Linked DNA regions of Schizosaccharomyces pombe. The protein of the gene in region 1 interacts with the protein of each later gene in a biochemical or structural test. Each region holds a gene or a part of one and is shown in the gene's direction. Other genes may lie near its edges. The genes, in order: arp3 and wsp1.

The links.
Region 2: the proteins of arp3 (region 1) and wsp1 form a complex in vitro, tested with the Schizosaccharomyces pombe proteins (3 studies listed by BioGRID).

What each region holds. Positions count from the first base shown.
Region 1 is NC_003424.3:348,418-352,343, forward strand, and holds arp3 (ARP2/3 actin-organizing complex actin-related protein subunit Arp3), read left to right. Parts: upstream 1-2,015; 5' UTR 2,016-2,059; coding exon 2,060-2,094; exon of another isoform or gene 2,095-2,157; coding exon 2,158-2,181; exon of another isoform or gene 2,182-2,253; coding exon 2,254-2,782; exon of another isoform or gene 2,783-2,877; coding exon 2,878-3,477; exon of another isoform or gene 3,478-3,542; coding exon 3,543-3,638; 3' UTR 3,639-3,879; downstream 3,880-3,926. Other genes in the region: GATOR2-SEACAT complex ubiquitin-protein ligase E3 subunit Sea4, read left to right, coding at 1-1,495. UniProt on the Schizosaccharomyces pombe protein: Functions as ATP-binding component of the Arp2/3 complex which is involved in regulation of actin polymerization and together with an activating nucleation-promoting factor (NPF) mediates the formation of branched actin networks.
Region 2 is NC_003424.3:4,861,753-4,865,678, reverse strand, and holds the start of wsp1 (actin assembly factor), read left to right. Parts: upstream 1-2,171; 5' UTR 2,172-2,230; coding exon 2,231-2,446; exon of another isoform or gene 2,447-2,531; coding exon 2,532-3,872; exon of another isoform or gene 3,873-3,922; coding exon 3,923-3,926. Other genes in the region: SPOM_SPAC4F10.16C (P-type ATPase), read left to right, coding at 1-1,095, 1,142-1,718. UniProt on the Schizosaccharomyces pombe protein: Has a role in regulating actin assembly, so regulating polarized growth.

The sequences.
Region 1 (3,926 bases):
CCTTGGATCTGATATTCAAGGGACAATACTAGATCGCGTCAAAAAGGGCTACCAATTTGATTCCCAAAAAAACTCAGAATTAGTTTCTGATTTATACTTAAAAGATCTATGGTCTTGGATTCACTTAAGCCATAGACAATCAGAAGAATCACTGTTTGGAGACACAGGAGATACAGATTTCAGCTATCAAGGTGCACTAGGTATTTGGTTTATGGATACTGAATTGACTAGCATGTCCGATGTTTTTGAAGCAAAAGAAAGCAAATTTTTAGAAAAAAAAATTTTAAGACTTGCTAGAGATGTTATTGAGAGACTTGATTTAGATATATTTACGTCTATCCAAACTAAAAGGCCTTTACGCCAACTCGCTTTACTTGCCTGTGGATTAGGAATGTCAAATGATGACTTGTTGTTGGAAATTAGAAGACTGATTCGCAAGAATGAGCATGTAAAAGCCGCTGGGTTAGCACTTTTCCACGGAAAAATTGAAAACGTAGTCCGTATATTATCAAGTGGGAATGAGCTGGAGAAGACCATATCCACAGCAGTTGCCGGATACATTACATCGCAAGGCTTAAGTAACTTTGGAAGTGACTCATTGTGGAAAGAAATGTCTCGTAACTTAAGTACAGAATTGGAAGATCCATACTTACGTGCAATATTTGCGTATGTTTCCAACTCCGATTGGAGAGATGTATTAGATGAAGTTTCTCTCTCATTAAAAGATCGTCTTGGAATTGCTCTTCGCTTTTTACCAGATGACGATTTGAGTAATTATTTGTGCGATTTATGTCACACTACAGTGCAATCAGGCGACCCAGAAGGCCTGTTACTTACAGGTTTAACTCCTTTGGGAATGGAACTTCTGCAGAACTACATTGATCATACAAGCGATGTTCAAACTGCTGCATTGATTGCTGCATTTGTGGTACCTAAGAAATTTCTGGATAAACGTGCAGAGGATTGGACTGAAAGTTATAGAGAGCTTCTAAACCGCTGGAAACTTTACCGTGAGCGTGCAAAGTTTGATATCTTTCGGACAGAACTCTCAAAAAATCACACAGGAGAAATAACCAGAAAGGCTACAGAGCCATCTATACGCATTATCTGCAATTTTTGTAGAAAACCAATTTTTCCTTTCTCCAATAGGAATGAATGTAATAATTTACCAACGCCAATTCAACGAGGTGTCAGTAAAGCAGGCCCAGCAAAACACTTGGGAAAAAGTTGTCCTCATTGCGGACAGCCTCTTCCAAAGTGCTCTGTATGTGGGTTTTCTTTAGGAGATGAAGATGTTCCTCAGAAAGATGACTTTTCTCAAAAACCTCAAAACTATGTCAAAGAAGTTAATCTTCAGAAATCTAGATTTGGGTTATGGTTTAGCTTTTGTCTAAATTGTGGCCATGGAGCTCACGCATCTCATGCTTCAGAATGGTTTTCAACTCATACAATATGTCCGGTTCCTAACTGTGATTGTGAATGCAAACTGAAATAGAAATTGCAAATGAGAGCATTAATTAATAGCATTAAAATAACAGTTTATGGTTTGGTTCACAAGTAATAATTGCTACATGAGTGAATATAAAATCCATGATTACAGCTTAAAAATGTTTAAGGCTAAGAGGTTTAAAGCATAAGGTCTTTAATACTATGATTTGTTTAAAAATTCGACATAGCTATCTACATTTGTAATTGTTTGATAATACCAACGTGGTTAGTTTTATTACTGAAAAGGGATTAACGCAAGATCGTTAATATTTAATTTTCTAGTAGCAAGAAGCGTCTTCTAGCTTAGCAACTTGGTAATTTTAACCGGTGGTACTGGTATTGAAGAAATACATATTTAATTTTTTGTGTAAATTAATTTGGCCTTAGTAAAGATATCCAAAGTGGGTTGTATACGGGCATTCGCATTTAACGTAATCGGCTCATCTCGTAAATTACCATATGTTTCCCGTTAACCCACGTAATTCGACATCGGTGACCGTTGCGAGACGATATTAAGAGTTTCAACTGGAACCAACTTCTCTTTCGCTTACCTTTTCATAAAATAATAGCAATGGCTTCGTTTAATGTTCCCATTATAATGGACAAGTAAGTATTGATGTAGCGAAGTTAAATTGTTCGTGAATATCAGTTACTAACTTTATTTGTTAGCGGTACCGGCTATAGCAAGCTTGGGTATGTGTAATAGTCGTTTTAGGATGTTATTATCTCTCTTTTGAGCATTTATTAACAGTAATTTAATTTCAGCTATGCTGGGAACGATGCTCCTTCTTATGTATTCCCCACTGTTATTGCGACGCGTTCTGCGGGTGCTTCTTCAGGGCCGGCTGTTTCATCAAAGCCTTCTTACATGGCCTCGAAAGGCAGTGGGCATCTCTCAAGCAAAAGGGCAACTGAGGACTTGGACTTTTTTATTGGAAACGATGCATTGAAAAAGGCGTCTGCTGGATATTCTTTGGACTATCCTATCCGTCATGGACAAATAGAAAATTGGGACCATATGGAGCGTTTTTGGCAACAGTCTCTCTTTAAATATTTACGTTGTGAACCAGAGGACCATTATTTTCTTTTGACCGAACCTCCTTTGAATCCACCTGAAAACCGTGAAAATACTGCAGAGATTATGTTTGAGTCGTTCAACTGTGCAGGACTCTACATTGCTGTTCAAGCGGTTTTGGCTCTTGCCGCCTCTTGGACATCTTCAAAAGTTACTGATCGTTCGTTGACCGGTACTGTTGTTGACTCTGGTGATGGCGTTACTCATATTATTCCTGTTGTATGTATAAAAAATCTAATACGAGCTTAGATAAACAGTTTTGAACATTAAATGCATATATATATGCCCGAATTTTACTAACTGATAAACCTTAGGCCGAAGGATATGTTATCGGCTCTTCCATTAAGACAATGCCACTTGCTGGTCGTGATGTTACGTACTTTGTTCAATCCTTATTACGTGACCGCAATGAACCTGATTCAAGTCTCAAAACTGCTGAAAGAATTAAAGAGGAATGTTGCTACGTTTGTCCGGACATTGTTAAGGAGTTTAGTAGATTTGATCGTGAGCCCGACCGTTATTTAAAATATGCATCTGAATCAATTACTGGACACTCTACTACTATTGATGTAGGATTTGAACGCTTCCTCGCACCTGAAATATTTTTTAATCCTGAGATTGCTTCTTCCGATTTTTTGACCCCTCTTCCGGAACTTGTGGACAACGTCGTACAGAGCTCACCCATTGACGTTCGTAAAGGCCTTTATAAAAACATTGTCCTTTCTGGTGGTAGTACTTTGTTTAAGAACTTTGGCAACCGCTTACAAAGAGATCTCAAGCGGATTGTTGACGAGCGTATTCACCGCAGTGAAATGCTCTCCGGTGCTAAAAGTGGTGGTGTAGACGTTAATGTTATCTCCCATAAACGTCAACGAAATGCGGTTTGGTTTGGCGGCAGTTTACTAGCACAAACGGTATGTCATTATCTTATGTTTGTATATTTTTTAGTTTACCCGTAGAGATTTACTGACATGTTTAGCCTGAATTCGGATCCTATTGCCATACCAAAGCAGATTACGAAGAATATGGTGCTTCCATTGCTCGTAGGTACCAAATTTTTGGAAATTCTCTTTAATGAAATATATCATGAGTTTTGCGTCTATAGGATTTACTGATTAAAATGAAAAGTTTAATGGAGCAGGCATTAGCCTTAGAAGAAATAGACTTGAGGTTTGCTATGTTTCCAGGCTTTTTCATTGAGCAATATCAAATAAGATGTATATAATTAACTTGTCCAAATAATAATGATGAGAACCATGAGAATAATAATATAGTGATTACTAATAACGTAAAAGGAGAAAAAAAAAGAAAACGGATGAAACCGATGGGTTCCGCCTGATAAATACTTTATTATTCAAGAACG
Region 2 (3,926 bases), 4.5 Mb from region 1:
GCATTTAGCTTCATTTTCATCCGAAGGATTTCGTACGTTATGTATCGCTCGTCGAACTATTGATAAGCAAGATTATCTTGAATGGAAAGTGAATTTCAACGAAGCTAATAGTGCCATTCATGAACGGAACGAAAAGGTCAGTAAAGTTTCAGAGATGATTGAGCAAGAGCTTGAATTACTCGGTGGAACAGCAATTGAAGATAAACTTCAAGAGAATGTACCAGAAACTATCGCTCTTTTGGCTATTGCTGGAATTAAGTTGTGGGTGTTGACTGGTGATAAGGTAGAAACGGCAATCAACATTGGGTATTCATGCAATCTTCTTGATCCAAACATGACTATTTTTCGAATTGATGCAAACTCTTTCGGTGCCTTAGAAGAAGTAGAAGCTTTTATTAGAAACACATTATGCTTTAATTTTGGATACATGGGAACGGATGAAGAATTCAGATTTTTGTTGAAAGACCACAGTCCGCCATCTCCGAAACACGCCATAGTTATTGATGGGGATGCCCTGAACTTTGTTTTGTCTGAACAGGTCTCTTTTCTTTTTTTAATGTTATGTAAGCAGTGTAAGACAGTTTTGTGCTGCAGGGTTAGTCCCTCTCAGAAGGCAGCTGTTGTTGCTTTAGTCAAGAAGAGTCTAAATGTTGTCACTTTAGCAATTGGAGATGGCGCTAATGATGTTTCGATGATTCAAGAAGCCGACGTTGGAGTAGGGATAAAAGGCGTTGAAGGGCAAGCAGCTTCAATGTCGGCGGATTATGCCATCGGTCAATTTTCTTTCCTAGGGCGACTACTTCTAGTTCATGGACGATGGGACTATAAAAGAATGTCTCAAATGATTTCATTCTTTTTTTACAAAAATGTTATTTGGACATTTATACTTTTTTGGTATCAATTTTATAACGAGTTTGATGGAAACTACATATTTGATTATACCTACGTGATGCTTTTTAATCTGCTGTTCACATCACTACCCGTAATTATTGCAGGTTGTTTTGACCAGGACGTTGACGCATCTGTTTCAATGAAAAATCCAAGCTTATACCAACGGGGAATTTTAGGTCTAGAATGGAACGGAAAGAGATTTTGGTAAGTATAACTCTGAAGATTTCTGTTTGCTAAATATTTATTTTAGGTCTTACATGCTAGATGGAATATATCAATCATTGGTATGCTTTGGGGTAGCTCTATTTGTTTTTAAGTTTGGTGATTTTGTAAGTTGGACTGGAAGGAACATCGAGTGTATAGAAGACATAGGACTTTTTATATCCTCTCCTACTATTTTTGTAATCAACATTTTTATATTGATGAATCAAGAGAGATTGAATTTAATATCACTTATTACTTGGATGTTCAGCATAGGTGTATTTTGGATATGGACATTTATTTATTCAGAAGTTGGCCCCTCTTACGCTTTCCACAAATCAGCTTCGCGAACTTGTCAAACTTTTGGCTTTTGGTGTGTTACTGTTTTAACCATTGCCTTATGTTTGTTGCCTCGCTTTTCCTATATTTGCTTACAAAAATTGTTTTATCCTAGAGATATTGACCTTTTACGGAGACGACTTTGTGCAAAGTCAGATGATGAGACTAGCAGTAGTTCATCATTTGCAACAGATATAGAAATGTGCGAACAATGTAACGACCCATTAAGTTCGAAAAAAAATTCCGGTATTGTTACTTCAGTTTCATTCGATGATTCTAATAAGTAGCCATACATCTGAGTTCGCACTGTTTGTTTATGTAGTTATACTACTCCTACCGGACGAGAGTCTTTTTATTATCCTCAACATCACGAATGACTTTTTCTTAATGTTCCCTTTTTTTTCTAATAATTAATGATTATGATTAAGTCATTTTTTTAATAATCTTATAATAAACTAACATTATGAGACAAGCAAACTTCGTATGGTTGAATAAATTTTATTTACCTCTTTACAATGAGGACGATAAGTATGTAGAATGTAAAAAATATTAAACCCGAATTAATGTCTCAAGTTTTATTAATCTATAAACAGTTAATATAATTAGCAAAATTTACCAGCTGCTAATAAGTGCGTTGCAAATTTTTATAGTACATAGCGTAGTATAGTATACTACACTAATTATCACTCATTGGCTTGTTAACTACAGTGAAAATGCTAACAAACGGGAGGAACCAAAACACCACTTATACCACTGTGAGACAGCAATTTTTGAATTGCATTACAATCCGAAAATTCAAATGCCTCCATCTTCCTCTATAACTCAAGAGGATAAGGCAACTATCCGTAAATACATACCTAAAAGCACAAATAAAATCATTGCAGCAGCCGTCGTCAAGCTATATGTAGCTTATCCTGATCCGAACAAATGGAATTATACAGGTCTTTGTGGTGCTCTTGTATTGTCCTATGATACAACAGCAAAATGCTGTTGGTTTAAACTGGTTGACGTTGTGGTATGTGTATGAAGCTTTGATACTCAAAGCAAACTACAAAGAGTGGTATACAATTTAATTGAATTATAACCTTCTAACGTTTTAGAATAATAGTGGTATAATATGGGACCAAGAGCTTTATCAAAATATGGACTATCGCCAAGATCGTACATTTTTTCATTCTTTCGAGCTTGATAAATGCCTAGCAGGTTTTAGTTTTGCAAACGAGACAGACGCTCAAAAATTTTACAAAAAGGTTTTAGATAAAGGTTGCCATCCTGAATCAATTGAGAATCCGGTTTTGTCATTTATTACCAGAAAAGGTTCTTCTAGACATGCGCCTAACAACAGCAATATCCAACCTCCCTCAGCTGCTCCTCCTGTACCTGGAAAGGAAAATTATAATGCTGTTGGATCTAAAAGTCCCAATGAGCCCGAGCTTTTAAATTCGCTTGATCCGAGCTTAATTGATTCTCTAATGAAGATGGGCATTTCCCAGGATCAAATTGCTGAAAACGCAGATTTCGTCAAAGCGTACCTTAATGAATCAGCTGGTACACCTACCAGTACTTCTGCACCTCCCATCCCTCCAAGCATTCCTTCCTCTCGTCCCCCAGAGCGTGTTCCTTCTTTGTCTGCACCTGCTCCTCCCCCAATTCCACCTCCATCTAATGGAACTGTCTCTTCTCCTCCTAACTCCCCTCCCCGTCCTATCGCTCCTGTTTCGATGAATCCTGCTATTAATTCCACCTCGAAACCTCCACTCCCTCCACCATCTTCAAGAGTCAGTGCGGCAGCTCTAGCTGCTAACAAAAAACGACCTCCTCCGCCTCCGCCTCCATCCCGTCGTAATCGTGGTAAACCACCGATTGGTAATGGTTCTTCTAACTCGTCTCTTCCTCCACCTCCACCACCTCCTAGATCTAATGCTGCTGGCTCAATTCCTTTGCCGCCTCAAGGTAGATCTGCTCCTCCTCCACCTCCTCCAAGGTCTGCTCCTTCCACTGGGAGACAACCACCCCCTTTATCTTCATCTCGTGCAGTTTCAAACCCACCAGCCCCTCCTCCAGCTATTCCTGGTCGTTCTGCGCCTGCACTTCCCCCTCTTGGTAATGCATCACGAACAAGCACACCTCCTGTCCCTACACCTCCTTCTCTTCCTCCTAGTGCACCTCCATCTTTGCCCCCCAGTGCACCACCTTCTCTACCTATGGGCGCACCAGCTGCTCCCCCCCTACCACCTAGTGCACCAATTGCTCCTCCTCTACCCGCTGGTATGCCAGCTGCTCCACCATTGCCTCCCGCTGCACCAGCTCCTCCTCCAGCTCCAGCTCCTGCGCCCGCCGCGCCTGTTGCTTCGATAGCTGAATTGCCTCAACAAGACGGCCGTGCTAATTTAATGGCCAGTATCAGAGCCAGCGGTGGTATGGATTTACTGAAAAGCAGGGTAAGTATTGATATTATTACTTAATGGTTACTCGTACTAATATTTTCCAGAAAG